3 linked regions of the Callithrix jacchus genome follow. The main gene of each other region encodes a partner of the protein of the gene in region 2 in a complex. Links are inferred from orthologs where the notes say so. Each region holds a gene or a part of one and is shown on either strand. Other genes may lie near its edges. The genes, in order: NAA30, NAA35 and NAA38.

Region 1 (10,832 bases), on a different chromosome or scaffold from region 2:
ATCTGTGATTATTTTAAGTAAAATAATCTTAAGACCCAAGTATATCACATATGTAATGAGAAGTTCTATGTAAGTAAATTTAGTTAAAGGTATATACGCCAAGAGTGATATCTACAATCTGAAAAGGTATAGAACAAGATCAATATTTTATTCATGCATTCAAAATAATGTATTATGTATATACGAATAAAAAGAGGATTAAGATGTAATTCCTACCAGAAGAAGCAACAGACAAGCAACAATCATAGAAGTCTGCAGCACTCACAGAGTAGGGAGAAACCAGTTTTGCAAGAGGTGGGGAGGTGTGTGTATGTGAGACAGAAGAGATGGGAGGGGAAGGGAGGGAAGGGGAGGGGACCTCTGCTCTTTAAAATAGCCAATCAGGATTAGTCTAGCTTGTGCAGTCTAACCTTAGCCAATAGGGAATGACACAGCCCTTAGGGACAACCCCCGTCAGCCATAAGTACCCCTTCCCCACTTGTTGAAGCATGCAGCCACCATTGCTCCATCCCTATGCCACACCTTTCTATAGAAGTAAACTGCCTTGTGAGAGGATTTATCTGAGTGCTATTTCTTTTGCTGCATTGAAATTTTACTAATAACACAGATTTTGAAGAGTTAATGTGAGGTTGAAAGTAATGAAAATGGGGACCATTTGATCATAACCCTCTCTGGTTCTTCATAGTTCTCTGAGGCCTCAGTTCTACAAACAAAATTGATGCCTACCTACAATTGGGACTGCCATCCACTATTTGCAAGGGGAAAGAAGGTTGAAGAACAGGCTGTCATTCCCCAAATTCTACAGGAAGAATCAAATTGTTTGCCCTTTATCTGGGCATCTCAGAGTGTTCCAAGATTACAGGTAATAAAACAATATACTAATATTCATCCTTTGGTTAAATTCTTTAGCTCTCAAATTTGATGTATGTTCTTTCTTTCATTCAGGATGAAACAAAGCTAAGGACATTCATTTGCAGGGCTTATGTATCATAGATAGGATTAGTGGGATTAAGAACCACATGACGTAAAATAAAACTACACAAATACTTAAATTATTTAGTAGGTGTGCCTATGGCACATAACAATGTCATCCTACTGTGTCAAGGGAACTTAAAGCATATTTCCATTATTCATTCCCACAGTTACCTTTCAAGTAGGTACACAGTTAGGTTTTTTTCTCTAAACCTTGCCAATAAGAGAAAAATGCCTTACTGTTAGAAAGTATTAAAAAGAAATGTTTCTTCTTCCAAGCTGATTTCAAGAATTTGCTTTAGGATGTTGTTTTAAAATGGTTGTTAGTTATTTTTATTGAGTGGGAAGTTTTTTTTTCTTCTAAAATATTAAGGTATGTCCTCTTCTTCCTCAAAAGAGAAAAATAGTAAAAAAAAAAAAAAAAAAAAGATGGTTGCTTCATAGGATATTACAAAACAATGAAAATATCAACTACCCACACAGAAGAGTATCACTGGTACACTTACCTTGCTCTGAGCCCTTTCTTTCCTATGAAGTTATTGCTCATGGAGGTGGTTGTTTTTTCAGAGTCTCAGAATAGCAAATGTGTCTAAAGCATTAGAGTGAAATAATCCTATTTCTATGCCTGCAATAATGCTATCATCCTATCAAGTAAATATGAATAAAATAGAAAACATTTCATAACTTATAAAGACAAATTTCTTAGAGAAGTCATCTGATTTAGAAGGCCAACATTGAAATTTTAATACCAGCATATAAAGAAAAATCACTGGGACTGAGACATTCGAATCAGCCCACTAGTTATTGGGGAGATCAGAATTTACTTTGTCATTGTAAGCATTCTGGAGTACAAATGAGAGAAGAGAGCAATTCAAAAAGTTTAACAAGTTCCCTTTTATGTGTTAGATAGGTGAATACTAAGGAACAGTTACTCCCTGACCTCAAGAAGGTACTTGTAACTCTTGACTTTCTAAAAACAACTTTGAGACATCTGGTCAGCTCCCCAGTCTGAGTGAGCTCATCGCCAAGTTGCAACACAGGAAGAACAGGAAGACCTGCTGCCATTCCCTCACTACCATAGAGTCACACATGTTTTTTAGGAAGGTCTTACATTTCAAAGTGAATGACTGAGAGACGTTTTTCTAAGTAAAAATCACCCTTAAACATTTCTTATAGAATTATCTGGGGCCTCTTGGGCCAGTTTTTCCACCATGATTTGAACAGATCATTGTTTCATTAGCTGACCACCCAGCTTGCATTTAGAAACTCTGAAAAAAATGTATCTTTAAACAAGGTATCACATTTGGAAATATGGTTTTGTTTTGTGCTTTTAAAAAAAAGCCGTGCATGGTGGCTCAAGCCTGTAATCCAGCACTTTGGGAGACTTAGGCAGGCGGATCACAAGGTCAGGAGTTCAAGACCAGCCTGACCAACATGGTAAAAACCCATCTCTACTAAAAACACAAAAATTAGTCAGGTGTGGTGGCGAACAGCTGTAATCCCAGCTACTCAGGGGGCTGAGGCAGGAGAGTTGCTTAAACTCCGGAGGCGGAGGTTGCAGTGAGCTGAGATCGTGCCACTGCACTCCCGCCTGGGCAACAGAGCGAGACTCCATTATATATTCTGAAATGGCCACAGCAATATTTCTGGTCCCACATGTTCTTTGAGAACATTGCCTCTCCGCACCAAGAGGTAGAGTCTATTTCCCTTCCCTTGAAACTGGATATAATTTTGTGTCTGCCTAGATAAAATGCAGCAGAAGTAACACTACATAACTTGTTTTTTATTTTGTTGTTTTTTTGAGAAGGAGTCTCCCTGTATTGCCCAGACTGGAGTACAGTCGGGCAATCTTGGCTTATTGCAACCTCTCTCCTGGGTTCATTGATTCTCCTGCCTCAGTCTCCTGAGTAGCTAGGACTACAGGTGTGAGCTACCACGCTCGGCTAATTTTTGTATTTTTTGGTAGAGATGAGGTTTCACTGTGTTGGCCAGGCTGGTCTCGAACTCCTGGTCTCAAGTGATCCTCCCGCCCTGGCCTCCCACAATTCTGGGATTACAGGCATGAGCCACCCCACCTGGCTTGAGATTACATGACTACTAAGGCTAGATCATAAAGGGCAATATGCTTCTGGTTCACTTTCTCACACGATACTTGTCGTTGGAACTCAGCCACCGGGCTGTGATGAAGTCCAAAACAATCAGTGCTAAAAGACCACCTGGAGAGGTCTACATGGACTAGAACTTAGGCTTCCAGCCTTTTGCCTGCATCAACCACCAGTAGTAAGAGTGAAGTTTTCATATAATTTTCCTCAGCCTTGGAGTCTTCCAATTGAAGCACTATGCATAATGGTGTAGAGAAAAGCCATCCCAGATGTGCTCTGTCTGGGTTTCAGAGCCACAGAATCTGTGAACCAAATAGTTATTTTATACATACAGAGTTTAGACTATGGCAAAAAGTTGCAAACACGTTCCGTCATATAATTATATGCTGAAAATGTCCATCTGCGGCACACCAGACCAACTGTATAAATCAGGTTTTTAAAAAACCTAATTTGCTCAGTGTGCGGGTGCGTTGCACTACCTGTCTCAGCTCAGACCTGCTGAGTCAATTGTGGACTAGAGCAGGAACTCAGCCACAACCTCAAGTTCTATCCCCTTTGCACTCGCTAGGCAGATCACTTGGGAGGAAGGAGCAGGCCACCTGTTTACCAGTCCTTCCCAACCTATTCGTGTCTCAAGTTTAGGAATGTGCTTCTTAGCCCTGGTCACTCTTTCACCATCTCGCTCTAACCCTTCCCCAGGTGTGCTCGCAATTGCCCAACACTTGTTAGTCACATTTGCCTCCAATTTTACTAGGCGCGAGGAGCAGAGGAAGAAGGGGGAAGCGGGCTGACTCCCCTGCCTTAAAGTGGCAAGGGCCAGCTGAACTTAATTCACACTACAAACCCACGTTTCGACAGTCATCCTCGCATTTTCACAGCTTCCTTTCCTTTCGGATCTGTTTCCCTGATTTGCTCCATTTTTAACCGCTTCTCCCCCACCCTCCTTGTCCCTAGTTGGGGCAAACATTAAACGCTGTTTAGCTCTAATAGGTATTTTTAGGTAACTTGTAAATGGCTGGTTCCACAGGCCCCGAACTGGCGAGATTCGCCGCAGCTCCGAGTGGGCGGTGGACTTGAAGCAGGGAGCGCCTGCCGGGTCCATCCCTCCCCGGCCCCGCGTGGCAAGTACCGCGGGTTGAGGAGCCCCAAAGCCGAGAAGGGTTTGGGAGCCTGTGACTCCAAAGCCCTCTGCAACTTCCCGGCACCACAGCCCCACCCACTAGCACGCGGCCTTCCCCAGAGATCGCAGGAAACACCTCCGTCCCCGCCCCTCCACAGGTCACCTCCCTCCACGCCCCTCTCCCTTGGTCTGGGCAGCCGGCAGGCAGGGAAGTGTCGTAAAGCCAGGCCCAGGAAACTTTACCCGGGGTAACAACCGAGGCGCTTTACGGCGACGGCGGCTGAGCGAGAGCCTTGGCGGCTGTGGAGGCGGCCGCGGCGACGTAGGAGGCGGCGGCGGTGGCTAAGGAAGAGGAGTGGTGGCAGCGGCCGCGGGACCGGTGCGGGGTGAGCCGCGAGGAGGGGACGGGGAGGGGCCGCGGGTGACAGGGCTGGCGGGTGGGCCCGGGCGGACGGGGACGGTGGCCGGCTGAGCAGCTGGGCGGCGCTGAAGAGCCGGGGGGGGGGCGGCGCGGAATTGGGGGGGCAGCTCCGTGAGGGACGGTTTCTGCCTTTGTTCCCCCCACCGCGGCCGCCCCCCACTCGCCGCCCCCTTTTCTCCGCGCTTGTCGGCCGGGTTTCATGGCCTCTCCTCTCGGTCTGTGTCGCTTCTAGGATGGCGGAGGTACCGCCTGGGCCTAGCAGCCTCCTCCCACCACCAGCACCTCCGGCCCCGGCGGCGGCCGAACCCCGCTGTCCCTTCCCGGCCGGGGCCGCCCTTGCTTGCTGCAGCGAGGACGAGGAGGACGACGAGGAACACGAAGGCGGCGGCGGCAGGAGCCCGGCGGGTGGCGAGGCGGCGACGGCAGCGACCAAGGGGCATCCGTGCCTCCGCTGCCCTCAGCCGCCGCAGGAGCAGCAGCAGCTCAACGGATTGATTAGCCCCGAACTGCGGCACCTCCGGGCGGCCGCCTCCCTCAAGAGCAAGGTCCTGAGCGTAGCCGAGGTGGCCGCCACCACGGCCACCCCTGACGGAGGCCCCAGAACGACTGCAACAAAAGGAGCCGGGGTACTCTCGGGCGAGAGGCCCCCTCATTTCCTCCCTAATAACGCAAGAACTGCGGTCCCCAGCCCGGCGGAGGCAGCGGCGGCGAGCGATCCCGCGGCGGCCCGCAATGGACTGGCCGAGGGCACCGAGCAGGAGGAGGAGGACGACGAGCAGGTGCGGCTTCTGTCTTCGTCCCTGACCGCCGGCTGCAGCTTAAGAAGCCCTTCGGGCAGGGAGGTTGAGCCTGGGGAGGATCGGACGATACGATACGTCCGATATGAATCCGAGCTACAAATGCCCGATATCATGAGACTGATCACCAAAGATCTGTCCGAACCCTACTCCATTTATACCTATAGATATTTTATCCACAACTGGCCACAGCTGTGCTTCTTGGTAAGTGGATAGAATGAAAAGAGGGTGAACCCAGCAGTGATCTAGACCGGGTGTGAGGCCGGGAGTGAGGGCCGAGAGTGTGGCAGTGGATATCTCCTGCTGCACATATCATGGTACATTATATGACGTCAAGTGCGTGTACACATTCCTAATTATTTAATGAAACTGTTTTGAAGGTAAGACTTCATGATTTGGGTTAACGTGATAGTACTGTAACTGCAGCAAGCCTGTATGTTGGCTTCTTCCACTGGGGTGGGGGTCTTGTTTACATTAGATTATAATCGTGTTTAACTGTCTTTAATTACCCGCCCTCATCCTCAGACACTTTACAGTCATTTAATTTGAACATGGTTCTATTCGGATACAGGCCTTATTAGTCTCTGAATTAGAACCGTAATCAGGGAAGAGTATATGCATAAAACATGTTTTGGTGAACATGAATGTCAGCGAACTTGGTGTGGCCATATTGGAGAATTAAATCTTACAAGCATTTTCAGTAATTATGGAGATTGTTTCCTTTTACTTCAACGGGACAGTTAACAGTTGTAGCCAGCCTGCTTTCTGGTACTCCATTGCAGAAAGCGCTACTAACACTTCTGGTGGTTGAAAGACTCCTGAAACTTGAACAAAATACCCTTTTGTGGAATGTGGAAAACTGAAGTGTGAAATTGTTACCAATGTGATTTTTTTTCTTTTTTTTTTTTTTGATTTAAGAAACTGTAGATGTGGTTAAACACTAGTAACACTGGCTTGTGTAGAGTATAATTGACAATTATACTTAAGTGAAAGACTTTTGGACAGACAGTTTTAAAAAATTTACATAGTATTGGCAGTACCAGTAATTTCTTCAAAATAATATTAACCAACTTCAGTCTTTATGAATACTTTAACTCAAATGTTGATTGCAGGTGTATGCTTTGTATCATGTGCTTACAACCATATTGTTTCTGTTGAATGTTACTAAAAAGATGACATGCTTTTAAGGAATATTTTATATGTGAAGGGAAAAGCCACCATTACTTAATATTTTAGCATTGGCTTAGTTCCACTTAGTAATTCCCTGCAAGATATTTTGACAATACTTAATTGTTTTTTTGATTCTCTACCTTGGTAGTAATTTGAAAATATAACCTGGTATCCTAGATAATGGTAGTTCTATTTTCTGTTTTAATTTTGCTTAAACTTGAGTACATTTGTTTAAACTGTGGGTACTATTTTATATTCTTGAAAACTGCTCTTTCAGAATTCTAAGCATCATATCAGAATAGTTCTAAGACGTCTATATCAATAAATAGGAGAATGATTTATAGCACTATTATAAATGTCATATCAGATGCCACTGTAATTGCTGAAAATTGTAGATTTAATGGTAAGTTAAACCACAGAAGTAGATGATTGAGTCACGTTTTAAATTGAAGTAGATATTTTTCTGTCCATTCCAGGAACTGGTTGTATATATGATATTTAGCGAGCTTTTTAGTCCTGATATTTACCTAGGCCTCTCTCAGCTTGTCTGCCATTTTAGACTCTCGTCAATGATATTAGTAAACTTTAGTTTTTATTTTATGTAAAACCCCCCAATTCACCAGCTGTGTGTATGTTAGCTTTTAGTAGCTTAAGTTTGTTTAATATTAAATTCCGAATATCAAGAAATTAAGACATGCACAAGTGGTTGACCTGTAAGATTTACTGGTGCAAGTATGAGTCAGGAGGTATTAAACAATAACAAAACAGTAGTTAAAAAACAATCAGACCATTTAGAACTGAAGCCTTTGTCTTGGCATACTTTTAAATTTAAGTCTAACATAGAAACTATTTTTTAAAAAATACAAATGCGTAAATGTGTATGTTTATTTTAAACCATATCATTTTAGAACTGAAAGGGATCCTAGAGATAATCTAGCCTAACTTAAGTTTTGTTTTGATTGAAAAAAAATTAAGGACCAAAGTGACTTAAAATGTTTAAATCTCCAGATATTTACTGACAGGGGTAAAGGTAGAACCCAGCTCTTCTGGCCTCTCATTATGGTAACAAATAACCTGAAAAATGACATACCCTTGATCCATTCAGTGAAGATTATGTCACAAAGTTATCTTCACAAAGGGCAGTTGCCCTTACAAACATCAATCTCAGTAGATTAGAAACCTCCAAGTTTTCTATGGATAACCTGCAATGGGTCAGTGGAATATATGGGATTGAACCTTACAAAATTGCCAATACTTGACTGACTAACAAAAATGACAGCTTATTATGATTCTTCCTAATTGTAAAATACATATTTTTAAAAGTACAATACAAATGTAAGACACTTTCAGTTACTCTGTAACCACTTTATCTTTACCTCTTTTCATAGTAATTTTTTCAGTTGATACCTTTTTGAAGTTCTTAAACTTACTGTCAACAATGTAACATAGTACTTGCCTTTATTTGCTCTAAATTTAACTTTTTGGCTTCCTCCAGTTTTCTATTTGTAGTGTTCTAGAATTTGGGAATCTCTCACTTTATGTTTTTCATAGTTTATAGACTGACAACCCTTTAGCCCTGTAGTGTTGTCTTAATTTTGACAGGGAGTTTTCAGTTCCCATCCTTGAAAAAACACATTTACTAGCATGAATTCTAAATGTATGTGCAGAGCTTTTATTTGGAAAAATTGACAAGCAATTTAAAGATTCTTGTACCATATATTCATGAGTAGTTTATCAGGAAAAAAAAATACAGCATTGGTCTTCTTCTCTACCAATATCATAATGGTGTATGATATATTGGACTTTTTAGATAATGTATATAGCTTGATTTTTGCTCCTACAGATTCTGAATTGGGAAGACATCAGGTCTTAAGAATGAACTAATACAGTATTTTGTTTTCTTATTACATGCTCAGAGGACAAAGATTTGTTTGAAATTCCTGTTCAGATTGAAAATACTGTCCAGTTGTATTGCGTTTAATGGTTTTAATTTTTCCTCATTTGCAGGTGGTGTGGCTGTTCTATAGTTTATATCATATAAGGTGTGGCTGTTCTATAGTTTATATCATCGGTCTAATATAGGTTTTCATTTCACATAAGCCTAGTTTATGAGGTCAGGCCAGATTTTTCCTGGCCCTTTTAAATATGCCATTTGGTCTGTGATTATTTTATGTATGTATATATATTTATATATATCTGTATACACACATATATATTTGAAGTGAGTCATTGTCAAATCAAAAAGCTTTCAGAGTTGTTTAAGGCAATATTTGTGAATACTTTAGGTATTTAAACAATTTTTCAAAAAGATTGATGTGAGGGAAAAAAATAGAAATAACAATTTCAAAGGTTTTATTGACCCAAAATAGTTTTGGAATGTGTGATAAACCAGAAATGAATTAGTGTGGGTTGTTGAATTTCATATTCCTTCAAAAGGATTTTTCCGACCTAGTTTAGGTTTGCATGAAATAGATTAGAATTATCTTGCCTAAAAGATTTCTTCACAGTTAAAAGAAGGCTTTTTAATCAATTTACAGAATGACAGACTAAAAAAATCATAACAAATTTATGTTAAAATATGTATTAAGTATAAATTGGACATTACTTATTAATCTTTTAACTCATTTCTGCTTTTTGTTGTTGAAATAGTTCTGGAAAGTTAATTTATAGAAATCTTCCTACTGACACATTATTTAAACAGTTGGAGGTTTTGCCCTATTTATATTTACCAGAAATACCCTGTTACTAGAACTTTTTTTTTAATCAGCATTGGAATTTTGAAAAACATTTTCAATGGTAACACTAGAAATCTTATGAAAATGGGGGCTGATTAGGTTTTTAACATGTAGCTTTTAATACTCTGGAAAGCTGTACATTTTTGTTAAAGTTCTATAAAATCGAAGCTTTTAACATAAACCTTTGATTTTGAACTATACATATTCTGAGAGCTCTATGACAGTTATCCACACTGTCAGGAGTATCCTAAAAATGAGATCATGGTATGTTTAGGTATATTAGCAGAAAGCTCTTAGGTATGATCTAAGCATTACCTTATAAACAGTGCTTTTTCTGAAAATTTTTAATTTTTCTGATCAAAATCTACCATTCAGGTGTAAATATGTATTATATCCAGCTTTCACTAAAACATTAAATTTATTTTTATTTTTCTCTTTTATTGAGATGGGGTCTCATTCTCTCACCTAGGCTGGAGTGCAGTGGCCTGATCTCAGCTCACTGTAGCTTCTGCCTCCCTGGCTCAAGCCATCCTCCTATTTCAGGAACTACAGGTGCACGCCACCACTCTGGCTAATTTTCATATTTTTGGTGGAGACAGGGTTTTGCCATGTTGCCCAGGCTGGTCTCAAAGCCCTGAGCTCAAGCAGTCTGCCCACCTCAGCCTCCCAAAATGCTGGGATTATAGGTATGAGCCACCATGCCTGGCCATTATTATTAAATTTAACTGAATATGTTTGAATTTATATTCTGCTGATAGGCAAGTTTTACAGTGTTTTATGTCCTAATGAACAGACTTTTTCTTTATAATAATTTTTTTATGTATTTCTTCTTCCAGAATCTTAGGTCTTTGTGGCAAATAACTGTGATTATAAGCACCTTGTGTGTAATCTTATAAAGTACTTGAATGTTTACCTTGTGGAAATCTCGTCTTTTTTCCTTAGGCTTTATAATAAGCATAAAAAATTCACGTTCTAAAGAATATTGAGAAATTTTGAATAGAACATTGGAAAGAGTTATGGGATATAGAATTTTGAAACTTCTGTGATTGCTCTCTTGCAAGCGTTTCCATTATCTCTTCCCCTGTCAAAAATGCTGATGAATGGTTGGTTGTTGTTTTCTCTGGGTAATTGTGCAGTATCTGATGGTGATGCATTCTTCCTAACTGTTTGTTTATTTTTAAGGCCATGGTAGGGGAGGAGTGTGTAGGTGCCATCGTTTGCAAGTTGGATATGCACAAAAAGATGTTCCGCAGAGGTTATATAGCCATGTTAGCCGTGGATTCCAAATACAGGAGAAATGGCATTGGTAAGAAACATACTATTTCACAGAAGGAATGCCTAAGCTACTTTCATTTTTGTGGTTGAAACAAAAGACTTAAATGTAAATATATAGAAATGAAAGTGAAACTAAGGGAAGAAAATTAAGGTGGTTTTAATTTTTAATTTCAAAATGGTATTTTTTAAAAGTTCTTAAAATGAAATTTTTTTCTCAATGTTTTGAGAGTTTTTCTTTTT
Region 2 (10,846 bases):
ACTTTGTAGCCTTCTCCAAGGGTGAGGCCTGGACTTGAAGATTTCTTAAAACCTCCATAGGTAATTCTGACATATGATGTGTTATTTTAATCGAGATTTATTTGAAATTATAGATTCTGCATCATTTAATTTTCTGTTACATAAATGTTATTTAAACAAAACAATAAGACTAATTAACAGTGGCAATTAATGGTAATTAACAGTACCGATGAGGGAGAAGGAAAGGAAGACTCAGTTGGAGGAAATTCAGACTGCAGAAGTGGCCTGCCTGAAAAGTCACAGCAACAGGCAAAAATAAAACAACCTAGAAAAAAAACTCAGGCTGCACATGCAGACAGATAAGCAGACAGGGTCCAGCACAGAAGCCTTTTGTTTGTTATATAAATAGCAAGCTCCCAGGGAAAAGTTTCCTTCCCTTTTCAGGCATATACATGGTGGGAACCTGCAAAGGGAGTGGTGGCGGGGGGGCTTACCTAAAACAAACCCACAGTTATACAAACAAGAGAAGCGATGCTTTGTGCTTGCCTAGAGACATAGCCACAGCTGCGTAAGATAAAGGACATTGCAGAAACAGCTTTACTAATAAGAGAAGTTACTCAATCTATTACAGAGATGAGAGGAGTTTCTTATAAAAACTTTTGAATTCAAGAAGAAGCTTCTCCACTCCTCCTGGAATCTCCACCTGATTCAGCCCGCCTGCCTCCACCATGTCCATCAGGGTGACCCAGAAGTCCTACAAGGTGTCCACCTCTGGCCTCCAGGCCTTCAGCAGCCGCTCCTACACAAGTGGGCCCGGTGCCCCAATCAGGTCCTCAAGCTTCTCCCTAGTGGGCAGCGGCAGCTTCTGGGGTGGCCTGGGCGGAGGCTATGGTGGGGCCAGCAGCATGGGAGTCATCACCACCATCATGGTCAACCAGAGCCTGCTGAGCCCCCTTAACCTGAAGGTGGACCCCAACATCCAAGCTGTGTGTACCCAGGAGAAGGAGCAGATCAAGACCCTCAACAACAAGTTTGCTTCCTTCATTGACAAGGTACTGTTCCTGGAGAAACAGAACAAGATGCTGGAGACCAAGTGGAACCTCCTGCAGCAGCAGCAGATGGCTCGGAGCAACATGGACAACATGTTTGAGAGCTACATCAAAAACCTTAGGCAGCAGCTGGAGACTCTGGGCCAGGAGAAGCTGAAGCTGGAGGCGGAGCTCGGCAATATGCAGGGACTGGTGGAGGACTTCAAGAACAAGTATGAGGATGAGATCAATAAGCGTACAGAGATGGAGAATGAATTTGTCCTCATCAAGAAGGATGTGGATGAAGCTTACATGAACAAGGTAGATTACATGAACAAGGTAGAGCTGGGGTCTCGCCTGAAAGGGCTGACTGACAAGATCCACTTCCTCAGGCAGCTGTATGAACAGGAGACCCAGAAGCTGCAGTCCCAGATCTCAGACACGTCTGTGGTGCTGTCCATGGACAACAGCCACTCCTTGGACATGGACAGTATCATTGCTGAGGTCAAGGCGCAGTACGAGGAGATCGCCAACCGCAGCTGGGCTAAGGCTGAGAGCATGTACCAGATCAAGTATGAGGAGCTACAGATGGTGGCTGGGAAGCATGGGGATGACCCGTGGGGTACAAAGACTGACATATCCAAGATGAACATTAACATCAGCTGGCTCCAGGCTGAGATCGAGGGCCTCAAAGGCCAGAGAGCTTTCCTGGAGGCCACCATCGCAGATGCCAAGCAGCGTGGGTTGCTGGCTGTTAAGGGTGCCAACACCGAGCTGTTCGATCACTGCGCTAAGTCCTGGGAACACAGCTTCCATTAAACCGGCAAACCTTCTGCCCTTGGGAAATACATTATTCTGTAAGAGAGATAAGCATTTTTTATTTTTTAAACCAAATTTATTGAGGTTCAATTTACAAACAATAAAATGTACATATTGTAAGTGCAAACTTCAATGAAATTTTACGAATGTATTCACCCACACGGGCACTACCTTAATAAAAAAACAGACTATTTACATCACTTCAAATCCAGTTCTATCCAAGTTAGTCTCTTCTTGAGCTCTGAGCAGCCACTAATCTGTTTTCTGTCACTATAGATGTCTTTTAAGAGTTTGGGGTCTCACTTGGGGAATCATACTCTTTTGCATTTGATTTCTTTCCTTTTTTCTTTCTTTCTTTTTTTTTTTTTTTTTTTTTTTTGAGACAGAGTCTTGCTCTGTTGCCCAGGTTAGAGTTGCAATGGCATGATCTTGACTCATTGTAACCTACGTTTTCCAAGTTCAAGTGATTCTCCTGCCTCAGCCTCCCAAACAGTTGGGATTACAGGTGCACACCACCATGCCCAGCTATTTTTTTTTTTTTGCATTTTTAGTAAAGACAGGATGTAGAAAGTAAAAAGTTCCTCTTTAAAGTTTCCCTTCTTGTTAAATAATAATAAAAATAAATGTTAAAAATAATAGTTTGTTTTAAAAACTAACTTCAAAGTGTTTTGCTTTTTACTAACAACTCTTTGTTAAGCCCTATCCTATGTAGTTATTAGACATGCTTATAGGCACATAGTACATTCTATGTCCTTGTACTTTAACCAAGATATCTGTGCTGGACATGCTCACAGGCATATCCCAGCTCACAGTCTATGCCCCTTCCTTATTTAGATTTCCTCTTTTCCTTTGTTCTCCATTGCTTTTACTTATTTAGAAAAGTTTAAAGTTGTTAGCCAATCGGGTTCAGTTTAGATTGTGAGGTCTGGCTCCAACCAATGGAGATCAGACACAGCAATAAGGACCCAATGTGTAAGAAATAAATATGCCTGCCTTTCCTTTGTTCATTGTACTCTCATGGCAAGATGGCTGATGGGAGCACCCTTTCTGCAGAAAGTAAAATTGCCTTGCTGAGATAGCTTTTTGTCTGAATGCTAATTTTTCCTTGTGGTACCTAGGAAGAAGCATTCTGTCTCTAACACAGGATTTCACCATGTTGGTCAGGCTGGTCTACAACCCAATGTCTCCACCAGCCAGCCTCCCAAAGTGCTGGGATTACAGGTATGAGGCACTGTGCTTTGCCTGATTTCTTTTACTCAATATATTTTTTAAATTAATTCATGTTGCATGTCAAGTAGTTGATCCCTCTTGATAATTATTTTCATTGTATAGATATGCCACAAGTTATTTATTCAACAGCTGATGGACATTTGGGTTGTTTCTAGTTTTTGATTAAAAAAAAAGCTGGGCCAGATGCGGTGGCTCACGCCTGTAATCCTGGCACTTTGGGAGGCCAAGGTCAGGGGTTCGAGTCTAGCCTGGCTAACATGGTGAAACCTGGTCTCTACTAAAAATACAAAAAACAGCCTGGTGTAGTGGCATATACCTGTAATTCCAGCTACTCAGGAGGCTGAGGCATGAGAATTGCTTGAACCTGAAAGTTGGAGGTTGCGGTGAGCCAAGATCATGTCACTGCACTCCAGTATGGGCAACAAGAGTGACACTCCGTCTCAAACAGAAATAAAAACAAAAGAAAACAAAGCTGGTATGAACATTATTGCACAATCCTCTGTATGAATATATGTTTTTGTTCCTAGGTAAATTTTTAGGCAATTACTGGATCATACAACAAGTATATCATTGTAATAAAAGACTAAGTTTTCCAAAGTGGTTGTACCATTTTGCATTACCACCACCCACATAGCAGAGGTCCAGTTGCTCTGCATCCTTGATAACATTTGGTATTATCTTTTAATTTGGGGCCATTCTAAAGAACAGGTGGTGATAAAGATGTGCTTCTTACCTGTGCCAGTCTATTTATGTAACCCCATTTTAAAACTGATAATTTTATTAATAACTTTTAAAAAAATCAAAAACGTGAGAATCTGAAATTAAATGTCTGGCTTGACTTTGCAGATATTTTGTTTCTATGTTCCTTCAGGAAATTCCCAGGCGCTGTATAGGTACATAAATCCGTTGTCAGGCAGCAGTAGCACGTTGCTGGCAGCTTGGCTGCTCCTTCGTACTCGCAACCACTAAGGTCTATGCGCACTTCTACAGTTTCCCTCAGTCTTCGCGGCACCTTTCTAAGAAATTCCCAGAGGGCAGCTCAGAAAGGGCGGGCTCTGAGGCTCCAGGCTCCGCCTCTTTCCAGGAACCGTCCACTACCCTGGACTTCGACTGAGGGTGGGAAAAAGAAGGTGACTTCCGGTCTCACGATCGTCTCTAATCTCGCGAGAAGAGAAGGCGGCCGCCATCGGCAGAACGGAGGCGTTGGCGAGGGAGGGGGTGTGGCCGGGGAGCGCAAAGTCCCCGGGAGTAAGGGGGAGGGGGCGGGGTCGCGCGCCCAGGGTGTACGCATGCGCATACACTGCCTATCGGGCTGGGCTGAGGGGAGGGGGCGGCGGCGGCAGAGGCGGCGTCGTTATTTCCGTGGTCCGGACGGTGCGTGGCGGCGCGGGTAACCACGGGAGAAGTAGGTAGGGACCGCCCCTGCGGAGACGTTGAGACCCTCTCTCTCGTGTGTCCGAAAGCCGCAGCCCCCTGGGCGTGTGGCGGACCCAGGGGACCCCAGGTCACCCTGCGGCCCCGGCCCTCCCGCTGCACGTCAGGTAGGAGCTGCGGGCTCCCAGGTGCCTGCTGTGGGCCGAGGCCCGGCCTTGCCCGGTGTTACCAAGGCGACGACCCGGCACCGGACGTGAGCGCCCTCCCGCGCGGCGACAGCCCTGTCCTTGCCTCCGCGCCCAGTGGGACCGGGGCTGGGCCGGGCTGACACGGGCGGGGCAGAAGGGAAGCGGGTGCCCGCCTCAGGTGTGCTTCCGTCCTAGGCCCGGCCGGTAGGACCCTGCGGTGCGTGCCTGTTCCTCATTCTGCCCGACGAGGCTGTGCCCGGGTCCGGGCCGGGCCGGAAGAGGTCCCAGAGAGCTCCTGGCCAGGTGACGGGCTACCTTCATTGACTTCAGTAGTTGCTGCATGGGATCCTGGGCTGCGAGAAGGGACTTTGAATAGTGCCTTGGTCATTTGTGGCTAGCTAGTAGTGAAAGTTGGAAGCTCTAGAGTTCTTTTCGGGCCAGTGGTGAGATGGTTTGTGATTTTTTCCTCTTAAATAGAAAGGCAAAGTTTATAGGCCCTGGTAGGTGGTGGGCTGATAGTAAATAAGCAGCAGGAGTGTTAATTGACGTGGGATTTGATTGCATTAAGGTTATTCTTTGCAGTACTTGTCTTTAGACTCAGAAGAGTTCTGCTTAAAGAGTTTAGTAAGACTCATCCCATTCTGAAACAAACACACATTTCTGCAAATACTCTTGTCCTGAAAGCTACATCCTCTCTCTTACATCAGTATTAATTTTACAGACATAATGGTTATGAAAGCTTCTGTAGATGATGATGATTCAGGATGGGAGCTCAGTATGCCAGAAAAAATGGAAAAAAGCAGTACAAACTGGGTGGACATTACCCAAGAATTTGAAGAAGCTTGTCGAGGTGAGTCTGATTTTTGTATTAAGACGTTCAGTATCTGGGAGGGGTAAAAATAAAATGACGATTGTGCTTTCTAAACTTACCTCATTAGATGAAATCAACAGGTAAGTGTGGTTTATTGAGTTTGTTAGCCACACTTTTTCCTGTATCTAATTTTAAAGCAAGTGTATATTTGATATAGCATTAAATACAGATGTTGAGGCAGTTTTTTAAAATTGAATTTTTCTTGAACAAGTTAGAGAGTACATAGTAATTTCTAACTAGAGAAAATACTTTGTTAATCTAAAAGATGGTAGTATTTTTGTATATTTGAGGTTTCAGAATGATCAGATCACATCATTTCTTATTTAAGATCCTCCAGTGGCTTCCTGTTGCAGATAGAATAAAATCCAAACTCCTTCCCCATGGTCTATAAAATCTGGTCCCTGCCTGCTACTCAGGTTTCATTTATGTGCCACTGCCCCCACCAGGCTTATTACATTCCAGTCACAGGTCTTTTTTTTTTTTTTTTTTTTTTTTAATTTCTTCATGATACAACCAAGGTGGTTCTCCCAGGTGTTAGCATTTTTTGTTTTCTCTCTTTTAAATTGTTTTGCCCCTTGCTTTCACACAATTCGTAAGTGTTACCTCCCTGGTGAGGACCTCAAAACAACCACTTGTTCTCTCCTCTGCAGTTCTGCTTCAGTTCAGTCACTTTTGTTTTTCTTCATACAGCTTATCTTTTTTTTTCACAAGCCATAATTTTCAATTATTTCTTGTTTATTTTCAGTCTCACTCACTGGAATATAAGCTCCATGGGGCAGAGGTCATTTCTGTAACCCTAGTACACAGAACAGTTCTTGGCACATGGTAAATTCAATAAATAGGAGTAAATGATCGGAGAAATGAACATGTTGGTTGGTTGAAGGGAAGGAGCCTAGGGAGAGACTGAAGAACAAGAGAAAGAAACAAATACTAGAATAAGAGCTTGAACGTTAAAGAGAGGATGAGATGAAGGACATGGTAGAGAAATTAACTTGGGGAAAAGCATAGGGACACACTGAGACAAGAAGGACTAAAGTTAGGATGACTGTAAAGGTATATTTCTAAGTGACAGAGGAGGACTGGTGAAGGAATTCACACCTGATGGCTTCAATTGTCTTAAACAGCTTGGTTGGGGTGTTTGAATAGTGCTCTGAAGGGGAGGAGTAAAGACTTGAGACAGCTGCAGGTGGAAAGGGAACCAGCTAAGTATAAGCAAAATGATAAATCATGTGTCATCCTTTGTTTTGAAATGCATGTCCAGTTCAATCACTTTTTATTGCCTCAGTGAGACAGTGGAAAGAACATGAGACTAGGGGTTGGGTGCCTGCCCATGTATGTCTATCTAAGGAAGAGAGAAGTGTCGAGTTACAGTGTAGTTTTTGTGTTCAGAGACCTTAGACTATTGAATGGATTATACTTGTCATCTTGCACTGATTTTAAGTAATCTCTATTAGGGGGCTGTCATTATGAACCTAAATAGGGAAGGTTTTTGAAGGATATTTGGCTTGGTTTGGGCCTTAAGGAGAGAGCAGGTTTTTGTAAGGGTAGGTAATAGAGTGATTCTAGACTGCGATGAACTGTATGAGTCAGAGTTCAGTGAGGATTTTATGTTAGGAGAACAATAAATAATTTTGCTTGGCTACAGAACAATTTTCAGTGCTGGGAATTATAGAGGGTCTTTAGTGCCATTGGTGTGTGTGTGGTTTTTGTTTTTTGTGTTTTTTTAGTTTGAGCTTGTTTTATAGGCAGTAGGAGTTTGTTAATGGTTTTGAGCATAAGATTGAAAGTGTATTCCCCTTGATGATCAGTACAATGGCTTGGACCCTGTAGAAGCTACTCTGTAGTAGCTTCTCAGTAACGTAGTGAGCTTTATAGTCAGGTATGGGCTGGAGTCCCATCTCTGTCGTTGGTTTAGTTTCCTTGAAGTTTAATTAATCTGAGTCTTAGTTTTCTACTCTGGAAAGCAGAGCTTCTACTTTAGAGAATTTTGGGGATTAAATGAGATAGTGAATACAAAGTACTGGATCTATAGTAGCATTCAATGATGGTAACTGTTTTTACTCAAGGTATTTGTTTAGAGTTGAAAACATAGAAGGTTTATCTACCAGCATAATTATGAATTAGGATGAAAAGAGCCTGTAACCTTAGACAAGGTTTTGCACTCAGCCCAGGTTGGGGTGTTAAGGCCTTGGACTAGGACTTGAGAGAATGGACTAGAAGGGTTACATATGAGAACAAATAAATTCATGTTGCTGGAGAGGTGAAAGAAACATGAGAGATGATGTGTTACTTAAACTTTTCCCTTGGTGACAGCAGAGGAGAGTGAACACATATACTACTTCTAAACCTCTCCTTCCTAAATCTTATGGATGGAGTTCAAAATATCTTGTTCATAGCTACATGATATCTTTATAATTTCCTGTTTTATCTTAGAAATTCATGGAAAAGTTTGCATTTTACAACATGTTTGTTGTTTGAGGGAAACACATTTCATTTATGTTAAAGGTCTTTTGCTTCTCACATCATCACATTAATTTGAGATTAGGCAGCTGTACAAAGTTTAATCCTGTCTTTGAATCCCCTGGGACATGATGTTCACCCAGGGTTGTTGTGTACCACAATTTGAAAACCACAGGTCTGCAGAATTTAGTCTCAATGAAATATGACTTTAGAGGTCCTCTTAATTTTAGTCATACCGCTTGCTTTCATATGTATATTCTCTACTTGTTTTTGATTATAAGAAAAATTGAACCCAAGAAAGCAGTTTAGAATACTGGTGGGAGAGACGTTTTGACTTGCCTTCGACTTATATCATAAATTAGACTTATTTCTTTGTGAAGGAACTTTGAGTGGGAGATGAAGTTTAATCTGTGCTCCACTGTGGATAGAGAGGGGGTGGCATGCCATTTTGTGGCCAACATCATGCCATCCTATTAACTCTTCGATAATTAGCTCTTGCACTGTGTCAAGTGGCAAAAATGTGAGGTATCTTTCTTGGAACTAAAGAAAAATTGATATAGAATTAATCTTCATGTACAGATTTAGGACTAATGACTGTTGGCAGTTCTTGATCCTTTGGTATTTGTTTTCCTTTCTTGAAATAATCAGATTTGTAGTCTTGATTATGGTTTAGTAGGCTTCTGTTCTAGTGGCTTTCTGAAAAGTAAATTTAAGACAGATATGATTACATTCTTTTAACTTGCAGGAATCTCTCCTCTTTGGTGCAAGTGTAATGGCATTTGGCTAGACTCTGGTGATTTTTTTAGTACCATAAAATAGTCTGCATATTGATGGCGAAGTTGTTTTTCATCTACTTTTGTACGTATTCTTTTAGTGGCTCTTCAAAGTCCTGAATCAAATACAAACCTTTACCTTTCATGATTTCTTTTATTTCCTACTAGGCAGGTAGCACACATTCCCTATAACTACTCTTCAGGCTCTTATTTTTTCTTTTCTGAATTATTTGTAATTTCACCATTACTATTGTTTTGCCTGATAGGAGATATGTAATTATTTTAAGTAATACTCTAGGCTTTCTTTTTTTAAAAAAAAATTTATAATTTTTTTTTTTTTCTTTTTAGAGTTAAGGTTTCACTCTGTCACCCAGGCTGAAGTGCATGCAGTGCTATGACCATAGCTCACTATAGCCTTGACCTCCTGGGTTCAAGCAATCCTCTCACCTTAGCCTCCTGAGTAGCTGACAATACAGGCATGTGGTATGCCTGGCTTTTTTAGATTATTTTTTGTAGAGACGTTACGTTATGTAGGTTGGTCTCGAACTCCTGGTCTCAAGGGATCTTACCTCAGCTTCCCAAAGTGTGGAATCTTCTTACCTCAGCTTCCCAAAGTGAAGCTTTCCTTCACTAGGAAACGTCTAGGCTTTCCTTGGAGCTTCTAGGCTTTCCTTCTCTAGGAAACCTTTCCTAATTTAAACCATCTCATTTTCTACCTGCAAAAAGTCTCTGATCTTCATATTCCATTTGGTTTTCCATATTTAGATGCTTTCTGAATTGTAAACTCAGAACTTAGAAATTTCACTTAAACATAAATGATCATGTAACATATACTGCTCCTTCTGCTGCCCACCAGATTCCCTTCTCCCACACTATGATTAGCAGCATTCTCTCCTAGGATGATGGCACCAGTAGTATCTGGAGCCCAGAAGTAATCCAAAACCTGCCATGCTGACTTCCGTTCTTTTTATGTTTTAGGCTAGGAGGATATGGGCCCATCCTCTCATTCCATTTTCTTCTCTCTTTGATGGCCTAGTTTAAGCTTGTCCAACCCACTGCCCAAGGGCTGCTTGTGGCCCAGCATGGCTTTGAATGTAGCCCAACACAAATTTGTAAACTTTCTTAAAATGTTACGAGATTTTTTCTTTTCTTTTTTTTTGTAAAGCTCATCACCTATTGTTAGTGTATTTTATATATGGCCTAAGATAATTATTCTTCCACTATGGCCCAGGAAAGCCAAAAGATTGGACATCCCTGGCTTTGTTCATTATTCTGTAGTCAGTCTTTATTCCTAGCACTGTTGGTTAAGGCTTTCCAGATTCTTTCATCTTCTTTAGTTCCTGCTTAGTACTTTAGGAAAATTCATTTACACTTTGTCTTGCCTCTTATAAAACCTGGGATGCTTAAACTTCTCATTGCTCTTCCATTCTTTTCTATCTTCCCTCACCTAGAATATTTGTAGGTGCTCAATATGTATATTTGTTTTAGGAATGTAGAAAAATTCTAAAGCCATACTTCCTCAAACTGAAGAATATTTCGATCTAGGACTACAGAAGTTTGAGAACCACTGTAGTACATTAAATGCTGTCATTTTGGGGGATTGCCTGTAACCAGGATAATTGTGAACCACAAGCATGGAAACTGAAATTATGTTGATACTTGATTATAATGTTATTATCTAGGTGATCTGGAATATTCTGTGATTTTTAAAAAAAGATTATCATTGAAATGATTACATAGTTCTAAAATTATGGAAAAAATACAAATTCTTTGTGAAACTTTCAGTGACATCTTTTTTGCCTCCCACACTCTCATCCATGAATCCAGTTTGAGAATCATTGTTCTAGGAATTTACTGTTTGTTAGCACTTTGTTCTAAGAGAAAAAGGATGGATGGATGGAAATGGTCTTGGCAAAAAATCTAGGCAACCTGTAAAATTGTTTTCCTTGCTCTATGCCATCTAGAATGTTATCAGTGGTGGGGCATGGGTGAGATGGCCAGCACTGGCATTTATGGATCACTTCAGATTAGTGGTTCTCAACTAATGAGTGGGTGGTTTTTCACCTCAGGGGACGTTATAAGACATTTTTGATTGTCACAGTGTATATGAGATGGTGCTACTGG
Region 3 (9,286 bases), on a different chromosome or scaffold from region 2:
GGTTTTCCTTTTTTTTTTTTTTTCTGGTCCTTCCCTCCCTCTTATAAATCTCCAGAGGCCACCTTTCTTTTTTTTTTTTTTTTTTTTTTTTGAGACGGAGTTTCGCCCTTGTTACCCAGGCTGGAGTGCAATGGCGCGATCCCGGCTCACGGCAACCTCCGCCTCCTGGGTTCAGGCAATTCTCCTGCCTCAGCCTCCCGAGTAGCTGGGATTACAGGCGTGCACCACCATGCCCAGCTAATTTTTTGTATTTTTAGTAGAGACGGAGTTTCACCATGTTGACCAGGATGGTCTCGATCTCTTGACCTCGTGATCCACCCGCCTCGGCCTCCCAAAGTGCCCACCTTTCAGTCCTAACTTTTGGAAGGGTTTTCCCATCTCCAGGCTGGTCTCCTTGACTGGATAGGTAATTACAGCCACCTGGTGGCCATATGGAGAAACGACAGATGGATTGCCCCAAAATATCTGCTGAGATCCTTTTTTGAGTTTTGCTCTTGTTGCCCAAGCTGGAGTGCAATGGCACTATCTCAGCTCACTGCAACATGCACTTCCCGAGCTCAAGTGATTCTCCTGCCTCAGCCTCCCAAGTAGCTGGGATTACAGGCATATGCCACCATGCACAGCTAATTTTTTGTATTTTTAGTAGAAATGGGGCTTCACCATGTTGACCAGGCTGGTCTCAAACTCCTGACCTCAGGTGATCTGCCCACCTCAGCCTCCCAAAGTGCTGGGATTGTAGTAGGCATGAGCCACTATGCTTGGCCAGAGACCCTCTATGGAATAATTTTTGGTTTTGGATATTGGGGAAGCAAGGAAAGAGAATCCTGTGGTAGAGACTGTAGCACAGGAATCAGACATCCTATTTCTTGGTCCTTCCTTGCCTAGTAGGGTACAACATCTCCCCCACTAGTTAAAGACAGATGAGTTTACTTAACATTTGAGTTAATTCAAAATTTATTGAGCAGCAACTGTGTGCTCAGCAGTGAGAATATAGCACTGAGCAAGATGTGAGCAAGATCTCTGCCCTCATGAGCTTACGATCTAGCAGTGCAGCCAGCCAATTTCATCCATAATTTTACAAATGTAATTTAAAACTCTGGAAAATGCATGGTGCTAACCGATTTAACAGAAAGTCCTGACCTACTAAGAAATCAGAAAAGACTTCCCCAAGGAAGGAACATTTAGGATCAGCTAGGTGGAAGGTGAAAGGAACAGTGTTACAAGCAGAGAGGACAGTGCATGAGGGCTCTGAGGCAAGATGTTTAATGAACTGAAAGCCAGTGTGTCTGGGCCATAGAGGACAAAGAGGGGTGTTATGAGATGAGCCTGAATTATACAAGGCCTTTGAATTTGGGACTTTATTCCAAAAGCAGGTGAAAGCCACTGAAGAAGCTAAGGAAAGTCAGATGTTTAGGTTTGTTTTTCATAGCTGACTCTCACTGCAGCATGGAAGGCAGAAGTGGACATGGGAGAACAGGTTTGGAAGTTTCCACAGCAGTCTGGACAAGAGGTGATGGTAATTTGGAGAAAGACAGGTTCCAGAGATATCAGGAGACAGAATATACTTGATGAGTGACTGCATGTGTGAGGAAAGGGATGTGTTTCTGGCAAGAGGTTCTGAAGTAGGAGTCTTTGGAAGAGGGACAGGTTTTGGCAGAATGAGGACATCCCATAGGCACAGGACAGGCCCTGAGGCTTGCACTAGAGGAACAGCATAGTTCCATTCTCAAATAGTTCAGGGTTTAATTGAGCAAACAAGGTACACGTAATTGCAGAGCTGATAAAGATCAAAATGATCGATTTAGATAATTCACGGACTCCTGCATTCCATGGGGTTAGATTTAAGCCCTCCATGTCACAGTAAATTCAGATACTGCTGAAGCCAACAGCAATGTTTCCACCTTTGTTCATGCCTCTCATAGCCCCTCAGAGAACACCTATACAGCTCACCCAGTATATCTCACAGGGGCCACCTTCTCCTGTGCTAGGCCCTGGTGCCCCCTGGCAGGAAGACACACTAAATACTTCTTGATTGTTTTGCTTGCTGCTGCCAGGAAGTTCACCTGTTATTCTCAAATCTCTTCCCCTCCTTAAGTTGAAGGAGACCAAATCTAGCCATTCACCCCCATAGTGGTTCTTTTTTGGTCACCAAGAGAGTCTCCTGACTTACTTAGCATCTCTCTTTACATTACCCCTGTGAAGGTGCCTCTTCTGGAGTCACCATCTTGCAACCTGTCTTCCTCATCTTCTCTAAGTGGCAAACTGCCTCCTTTTTCTCCCTCTCCACTAATTTGCCAGCCTTTTCCCCACTGTATTTTTCCCTCAGTTTGGTAAATACCCAACTCTTTGCCCCAGAAAAGTCAGAAGAGAAATTTGGGGTATGAGATTAACAAGGAAGTAGCCCCAATAGTTATTGCTTAGCTGACACTTAGCCTTCCTTGCCTCCTCTTTGCCACAGGAAAACTCTGCAAACCCCCTTCCAGAGACATTAACTGCTAACTATTCAATAGGCACACAGTTTCCTGTTGTGCAAGGAGCCTAGGACAAAGCCACACCCCAAATACTTGCTCTGAGAGCAGTGGTTACAAATATTAACATGAAATTAGACATTCAGATGGTCCCTTTATATCAAAGAACATAGACTTTGGAGTTGGGCAGACTTGAATTTGCATCCTGGCTCTAGTAGTTTCTAACTAGTGTGCCTTTGAGCTATTAAACTGTTATAAGTTTCAAAAGACTTATCTGTAAAATAGTAATGGTATCCACCTTCTGGGGTTGTTTTCTTGAAGAGGCTATTTGGGACCTGAGGCAGGAGGATCACTTGAGGCCAGGAGTTTGAGACCAGCCTGGGCAACAGAGTGAGACCCTGTGTCTACAAAAAATAAAAAAAGTAACCAGGCATTGTGGCAGGTGCCCGTAATCCCAGCTACTCAAGGCAGAGGTGGGAGGATCACTTATGCCCAGGAGTTCGAGGCTGCAGTAAGCCATGATTCTGCCACTGCACTCCAGCTTGGGTGACAGAGCAAGACCCCTTCTCTTTGAGGGAAAAAAAAAGTGTGTGTATGTGAAGTACCTAGCATAATATCTAGCCTGAATTGCCTGATAATGATTCACTTCCTTTCTTTCCCTTGGGTTTCAGCTGCCAAATACTCTTCTACAAGTAAGATAAGCCAGCTTTGTATGGTCAATGATAAACATTTCCTATTCCTCTTTTTATAAATCCCATCTTCCTGCAGAGAGCTCATTTCCATCATTGCCAAAAAAGTTCTTCCATCTCTCACCTTTGTAGAACTACTCTCAACTATCAAACAGCTCTGCCTGAACTCTATCATTTTCTACATCTCCCTAAACCAAGACACTTGATCTTCTTGTATCATTCCCAAAGATTAATTCACTTCTGGCACTCTCCCTAATTATCTCAGAGAAAAATGTAATGAAGGCAGGGAATAGGGCCTTTACACTTCAGAAGGGCACAGGCTAGTTCCTAGAGAGGAATGGATATCTAGGTCCAGGCAGCCCTCGGCCCCACCCTTTTCCTCAAGGCACAGAAAAAGCCAAACTCAAAATATGTCTCGAGTCTACATGAGTGTACGTCTCCTTTCCTACAGCTCTGTGAGATCATCATTGAAGTACAGAAGTATTGCAGGTGTGTGAAGTGTACTGTCCATATTGAGATAGTCAAATTCTTCTTCCTCATCCCGGATCCCATTCTCTTCCAGGGTAAAATCCATGTTCAGGTTCTTCCCTTCATATTTCCACGTGTAGCTGGCAGCATGTGCATTATAGGGGAGATAGCGGTGTAGGATTTCCCATATTGACTCCAGAACCCCCACCTGGAGAACATAGAAGCACCCACCCCCAGAATTCTGTATGGAGTATATACATACACACACTAGGATCAGAGTGCCTCCCTTGGCAGAGAGCAGCTTCAGATACTCTACAGCCCCAGAAAAAGAAAAAAGCTGAAACTCCAGCATGCAATGAACAAGACCCTACAGATCTGAATGGCAGCCAATTCTAACTAACCCATGGCCATAAAGGGTCAACTGTCCCCTCACTATATCCATGCAATAGATTAATAAGAAAGTTGAAATGCTGTCCAACAGCATGTAAGAGCTTCGAAGGACCACCATCACTGAGATGCATGAACTGCTGTCCCCGGGCTTATAAAGGAGTCTCTTGTCCCTTTGTGACCCAGACACTCCTAGAATTCCCAACCCTGGGGACCTAGGTGCTGTGCTTTCCTCAGTAGCCTCAATGTAAAGGACAGAAAATATAGCTCCCACCGGTTATTGAAAACCTGATAGCCTGAAGATCGGCTTGAAGATTTGCTAGGATTCCTGTTCCCTCTAACCTGCCCCTCCCCCACCAGTTCTCACCTCCAGTGTGTGCTCCTGCGACGTGAGTGTGTTAATGATGCGGACGCTCCGGCTCTTGGCAGACAGCCGCCCCACCTCATAATACGACCTCTGCCACCAGGGCTTCCCAAAATCGTTGGCCCAGTCCGAACAGGGCAGCTGAGGCGGAACGTGCACAAAGCGGCCCCGCGGGGTACAATACCTCAGGCAGCCGGTCAGCGGATCTATGTGCTTGCGGATCTTTAAAGGAGGGTTTGGGGCAAGGGGGTTGAAGCCAGATCCTGTTTAAGGATCTAGCTAGCCTCCGCTTTTCCTCCCCATCCCCGCTCTCCATTGCCTCTACTCACAACCCCAGATTCCAGCAGAACTCACGTCTCCGGTCTTTGGATCAAACCAGTGACTGATGTCCTGGCCCGCAACTTCCACGATGGGTTTTAGCAGCAAGTTCCCTGGGAAAGAGCAGCCACTGTCAATGCCAGCCCTTCAAGAACCAAGCAAGCAAGCAAGGAAGCAAGCGCGCGCACACACACAAACAAACACTCCGGCCCCGGCCCAACGTGTGGCCCTTACCCTTGTATTCCTGTGCCAATGGCGTTAGGTCGTACACGCGTCCCAGGTAAGACACCCAGAGGTCTTCGGGCCTGTTATGTTGGGCCACCTCCGCCGGCGTGAAATAGCGACGCTGAAAATACTCCAAATCTGGCCCAGCCACCAGGCCCCGGCGCGGCATGGCTCTTGCTTTGTCGGTCACTGGCTCCCGTGGTTACTCCTTTGCTCCTCAGCACGCACGCACTACTGCGACCTCCGTCGCGTCCGGGAGCCAAGGGGAGCGCGTTTATCCGCTGACATGGAAACCATTGTCCTTTCCCGGCCACCGTCCACTGAGCTCAAAGACCGGTACGGGGATGGGACTGCAAGTGTTCACGGGAAACGTAGTGTGAGTTCCGCATCGGGCATAGAAAGATCAAGTAATTGAGTGGCGCCGCTTTCTGGAACTGGAGCCGGGATGGGTCGGGGAGAGGCGCGGAAAACGAACATGCTCCGTTTTGATTCAGTGGCCTGGGTTACGTGGGATATTTAGTACAGACTATCTCCCTGAGACACCAAAATAAGGGAGGAAGCAGTATGAAAGAATGTATTCTCCCTAAATTCCAGAGTTTCTAAAGGATAAGAAACTGAGGTAAAGGTCTCGCGATATCTGAAGACATCCGGCGTATGACATCGTTTCAATGAGCCACAGCACAAGAGAGGTAGGAGAAGCTCGCGAGATCTCTGCAGTTGCCGAGGAGACTAGGAGTGGGAGAAAAGGTGATCTCGCGAAAGGAAAGAGATCGGGAGCGCTCGCGAGATCTCGGACCACCCAACCCGAAAGGTGCTTAGGAAGCTGAAAGGCCCAGAGGAGGCCTCCGGGCAAATGGCTGGAGCTGGACCGACCATGCTGCTACGAGAAGAGAATGGCTGTTGCAGTCGGCGTCAAAGCAGCTCCAGCGCCGGGGTTAGCACGGGCTTTGATTCTGGGATTGAGGGGCAGTCGAGCAGCAAGATGGAGGGTGTGGGGAACTGCAGCTCCCGGCAGCCTCTGGGCTTCGTGTGAGTACCCTGCGGGCTGCCGGGAGCTGTGGTTCCTCGGACGGGCAGCCGGGATTGTGCGATCTGAGCGCTCGTTCCACCCCTCGCAGGATTCGGACGGAGAGCGCGAGGACTCGGCGGCTGCGCGCGCCCGGCAGCAGCTAGAGGCGCTGCTCAACAAAACTATGCGCATTCGCATGACAGATGGACGGACACTGGTTGGCTGCTTCCTCTGCACTGACCGCGACTGCAATGTCATCCTGGGCTCGGCGCAGGAGTTCCTCAAGCCGTCGGGTCAGTGCCCGGGGAATGCACACCCTCTTGGGAATGTGGCGGAACCTTACGCAAGGCATTTCCCCTGCAGGGCCTAGCTGCACCCCTTGTTTTCTGGAACCCGTTTTCGTGGCTCAGAGGGGCGGGACTGATTGTGGCCTGCTTCCCTGATGCTCTGATCCTTCTTTCTAGATTCCTTCTCTGCCGGGGAGCCCCGTGTGCTGGGCCTGGCCATGGTACCCGGACACCACATTGTTTCCATTGAGGTGCAGAGGGAGAGCCTGACCGGGCCTCCGTATCTCTGACCACGATCGGATACACCTTTCAGATTTCATTAAACTTATGACCGAATGGTCCCGTGTCTGTGTGTACCTGGGATGGCAGGGCAGGGATAGCACACCTCACCCCTAGAGGAAAAGCTTCATCTGAAGTCGGGAGCACTCAGCCCTCCTCTCCCAACCGGGTTGTCCAGGGGTGCCAAAGTTTCTCTCAGGTTCAGAGGTAGAGATGGGGGACAGGGCTGAATGACAGACCAGCAGGCGCCCCAGGGTGGGCCCCTGCATCTTCCCTCCCACGCTGCTGCTCCAGAATTGTGGCGGGAGGGGGTGTCATCCTGCTCCGGAAGGCCCATTGTTTCCCGCCCCGGGCTGGCAACACCGAGTTCCTCTAAGCCGGGGTCAGAGAACGGGCTCAGGTCCCCAAGGGGAGCAGGGCAGGCAGCCGAGGCTGGGCCCCCTCCTCTCTATTGATGGGGAGGTGCCTGGGGTCAGGGACAAATCTCTGAGGTCTGGCCAGGAAGAACGGACAAAAGCGATAAGGCCAGGGGGCTGAAAGATGCACCTCTCTGCGCATTTGCAGCCCTGGCACATGTTTCCTGTTCCTCGGCACAGGACAGGAATGATCGTACTTGTGCCACTCTTCTGTTCACAGAGCACGTTCGTTAAATCTTTATTGATATGTGGACACTCCTTCCCCTCTGGCCCCACCTCCCTGCCCCCAGCCCCAGAAATACCGGAGGAGCTGCCCCATAAAAGGAGGGCATGAGATTGTGGTCCCATTCACGACACAAGGGCTGAGGGGGAGGTATGCAGGGTCCAGCCCAGAATTTGAGGATTTAGATGTGGGTAATGGAGGGAAAGGGGGTTTTCCGGGATGTAGGGGCTTTCATCAGCATTGGGTCCACTGATGCTGCTGTTCCCAAAGGGTTGTTAGGACTCCGATCAGGCAGGGGTGGGGGCAGGGCAGGTCGGAAGAAGAGGGGCTTCCAGTTCATAGGCGGAATAAGAGGGAAGGCAGCCGTCAGGGTTCTTCTTGACTCGGGGATAATTAGACCCAGACCTTTCCTGATGTGGGAAGGGCCTGGGACCCTGGTGAGGCCCGGGTTTGCCTCGGCTGCGAGGTGCGCCGACGCCGGTAAAGGGCTCGGCTGTAGGGCACGAGGCAATCGGCTAGGCGGAGGCGCAGGCAGAGGCGGCGGTAGCTGGCCAGAGCAAGCACTAGCAGCGGCACGAGGAGCAGGAATCCGGTGACCAGAAGGGCCGTGAAACCGGGGTCCCGCAGGTGCGCGGTGCAAGGGGGTGCCTGGGAGCGCAGGAACTGTGGGAGAAGAGGAGTCAGGCCCAAGCCGACCGGGCCATAACTGTGCACGGGGTGGAAACAGCCCAAGCGGGTTGAAGTTGTGGCCCATAAACCCCAACCGCCAGCATCACCACACACCAACACCCAACACTCACTCACACCCCAGGGCGCACACTCACCTGAGAGTGGCAGAGGAAGCCGAAGCCCAGCATGGTGACAGCGGGTAGCAAGATGGTCCCTAGCACCAGCGCCAACAGGAGAAGATTGAAGGCAGCCACTAGCAGATTCTGGGCTGTTACAAGCACAGCGCAGGCCCAGCAGTCCAGGGGGTCCCGGGGCTCTGGGCCGCCGGGAACCGCTCGCTGTGCCCCCGGGACATCCGCCATGGCCTGCCTGTATCCAGCCCGCCTGGGCTGCTGCCTTATAGTCCTCTTTCCTGCCCCTCCCCCGGCCCAGCCTCTCCCCACCCCCCTTATCCTGGAATGCGGCTGTAGGATTAGGCACCCCCCATCCTGAGGAGCGGACCAGAGCCCAGGACATTCCACAGGCACCTCCGGGGAGGGGCTCGCCCTTGCCAGGGTCTGCGCCGTCCTCCCCATCAATCACGGTTTTCCAGCCCTCCCGGTACGTCCCTGCTATCAACCAGCACGTTAGCGAAACAGGATTTTTTTTCCGCTTTTATTTTTAATATTAATATTCTCACACAAAAATCACCAAAAATAGGGGTAGGGTTGGGAAGACCTCTCTGCCCCTAGGGCAGAGAGACAGTGCAGTGCGAGGGTGCGGGACTGTAAATCCCCCACCCCTCCGCAGCCCCAGCGTGGACAAAAAACCACCAACAAAACGAAAATAAAGCCCCAGAGAAACTCACCCCGGGGTGTCCCTGCCCCAGTGAGGCCCTGGCCCTGGGTTGTTTCACACTTAAAAACAAAAGGGGGTAGGGGTGAAGGTCTGTGTTTTTAAAGTTGGCCGGGACTGGGAAGGACGGGGTTCCTTTTCCTCATAGTTCTTTCTTTAAAACCTTTAAATTTTTTTATTTTATTTATTTTTTTTACAAAATACCATTTCAGTTCCCACTTCTTCCCCTACAGTACAGGAGTCGCTCACCCTCAGGCGGGGTTGGGGTCGGGTCAGGAGTGAGGGGACTGGTCCGAGAAAGTGCAGGACATAGGGGAGGCGAGCGGGTTTGAGCACCATGAGAACCCGGCTGGAGCCGCGGGCGGACGGGTGAAGACGGTCGGGCCGGACCCGGACACATACTGGGGCGCAGGGAGAGCCCGGCGGTGGGCGGTCCCCGGAGGGGCAGGCAGGATGGCTCGGGGGTGTGGGAGGTCGGGTTTTCCCAAAAATGAATAAATAGAGGTGAGTGGGACTGTTATAAATTAAAAACCAAAAACAAAAAAAGAACAAAAATTACAAATCATAACCAAGTGAATAAAGAGACATGTACAGGGGTCACAGCTAGCATTGGAAATAAAAAAGGAGGTTCTGGGGGAGGGGTAAAGCCC

The links.
Region 1: the proteins of NAA35 (region 2) and NAA30 are in contact, whole or in part, in a cryo-EM structure (PDB 7MX2), measured with the Homo sapiens proteins. The link is inferred for Callithrix jacchus from reciprocal best matches to the Homo sapiens genes NAA35 and NAA30. Residues at the interface, in NP_001308810.1 of Homo sapiens: Leu45, Gly46, Leu48, Leu56, Ala59, Met60, Ala62, Glu64, Lys69, Glu121, Phe313, Pro314, Arg315, Ala444, Leu510, Glu511, Leu512, Glu517, Pro605, Lys606, Phe607, Glu608, Leu609, Asp610, Val614, Arg615, His618, Arg619; in NP_001011713.2 of Homo sapiens: Glu221, Pro238, Ser240, Tyr242, Thr243, Arg245, Tyr246, His249, Asn250, Lys304, Ile324, Glu334, Asn335, Leu336, Gly337, Val339, Arg340, Asp341, Lys342, Arg343, Phe345, Arg346, Tyr347, Tyr348, Leu349, Leu359, Trp360, Leu361, Arg362.
Region 3: the proteins of NAA35 (region 2) and NAA38 are in contact, whole or in part, in a cryo-EM structure (PDB 7MX2), measured with the Homo sapiens proteins. The link is inferred for Callithrix jacchus from reciprocal best matches to the Homo sapiens genes NAA35 and NAA38. Residues at the interface, in NP_001308810.1 of Homo sapiens: Val30, Asp31, Ile32, Thr33, Phe36, Ala39, Cys40, Leu43, Leu45, Glu47, Leu48, Leu49, His50, Asp51, Phe54, Glu58, Ala59, Ala62, Ile63, Glu64, Met65, Met66, Ala72, Gly73, Met74, Gln306, Arg307, Leu309, Pro310, Pro311; in NP_001307854.1 of Homo sapiens: Ala41, Arg42, Leu45, Glu46, Leu48, Leu49, Arg61, Phe67, Leu68, Cys69, Thr70, Asp71, Arg72, Cys74, Ile77, Arg97, Val98, Leu99, Gly100, Leu101, Ala102, Met103, Val104, Pro105, His108, Ser111, Ile112, Glu113, Val114.

Annotation. Positions count from the first base shown.
Region 1 is NC_133509.1:92,042,816-92,053,647, forward strand, and holds the start of NAA30 (N-alpha-acetyltransferase 30), read left to right. Parts: upstream 1-4,461; 5' UTR 4,462-4,580; intron 4,581-4,847; 5' UTR 4,848-4,848; coding exon 4,849-5,616; intron 5,617-10,499; coding exon 10,500-10,623; intron 10,624-10,832. UniProt on the Homo sapiens protein: Catalytic subunit of the N-terminal acetyltransferase C (NatC) complex. Catalyzes acetylation of the N-terminal methionine residues of peptides beginning with Met-Leu-Ala and Met-Leu-Gly.
Region 2 is NC_133502.1:97,178,306-97,189,151, reverse strand, and holds the start of NAA35 (N-alpha-acetyltransferase 35, NatC auxiliary subunit), read left to right. Parts: upstream 1-4,370; 5' UTR 4,371-4,461; exon of another isoform or gene 4,462-5,061; intron 5,062-5,339; 5' UTR 5,340-5,344; coding exon 5,345-5,468; intron 5,469-10,846. UniProt on the Homo sapiens protein: Auxillary component of the N-terminal acetyltransferase C (NatC) complex which catalyzes acetylation of N-terminal methionine residues. N-terminal acetylation protects proteins from ubiquitination and degradation by the N-end rule pathway.
Region 3 is NC_133506.1:74,350,854-74,360,139, reverse strand, and holds NAA38 (N-alpha-acetyltransferase 38, NatC auxiliary subunit), read left to right. Parts: upstream 1-5,632; 5' UTR 5,633-5,772; coding exon of another isoform or gene 5,773-5,812; coding exon 5,813-6,221; intron 6,222-6,392; coding exon 6,393-6,505; 3' UTR 6,506-6,551; downstream 6,552-9,286. Other genes in the region: CYB5D1 (cytochrome b5 domain-containing protein 1), read right to left, coding at 3,603-3,833, 4,380-4,598, 4,731-4,807, 4,929-5,088; TMEM88 (transmembrane protein 88), read right to left, coding at 7,527-7,796, 7,958-8,164.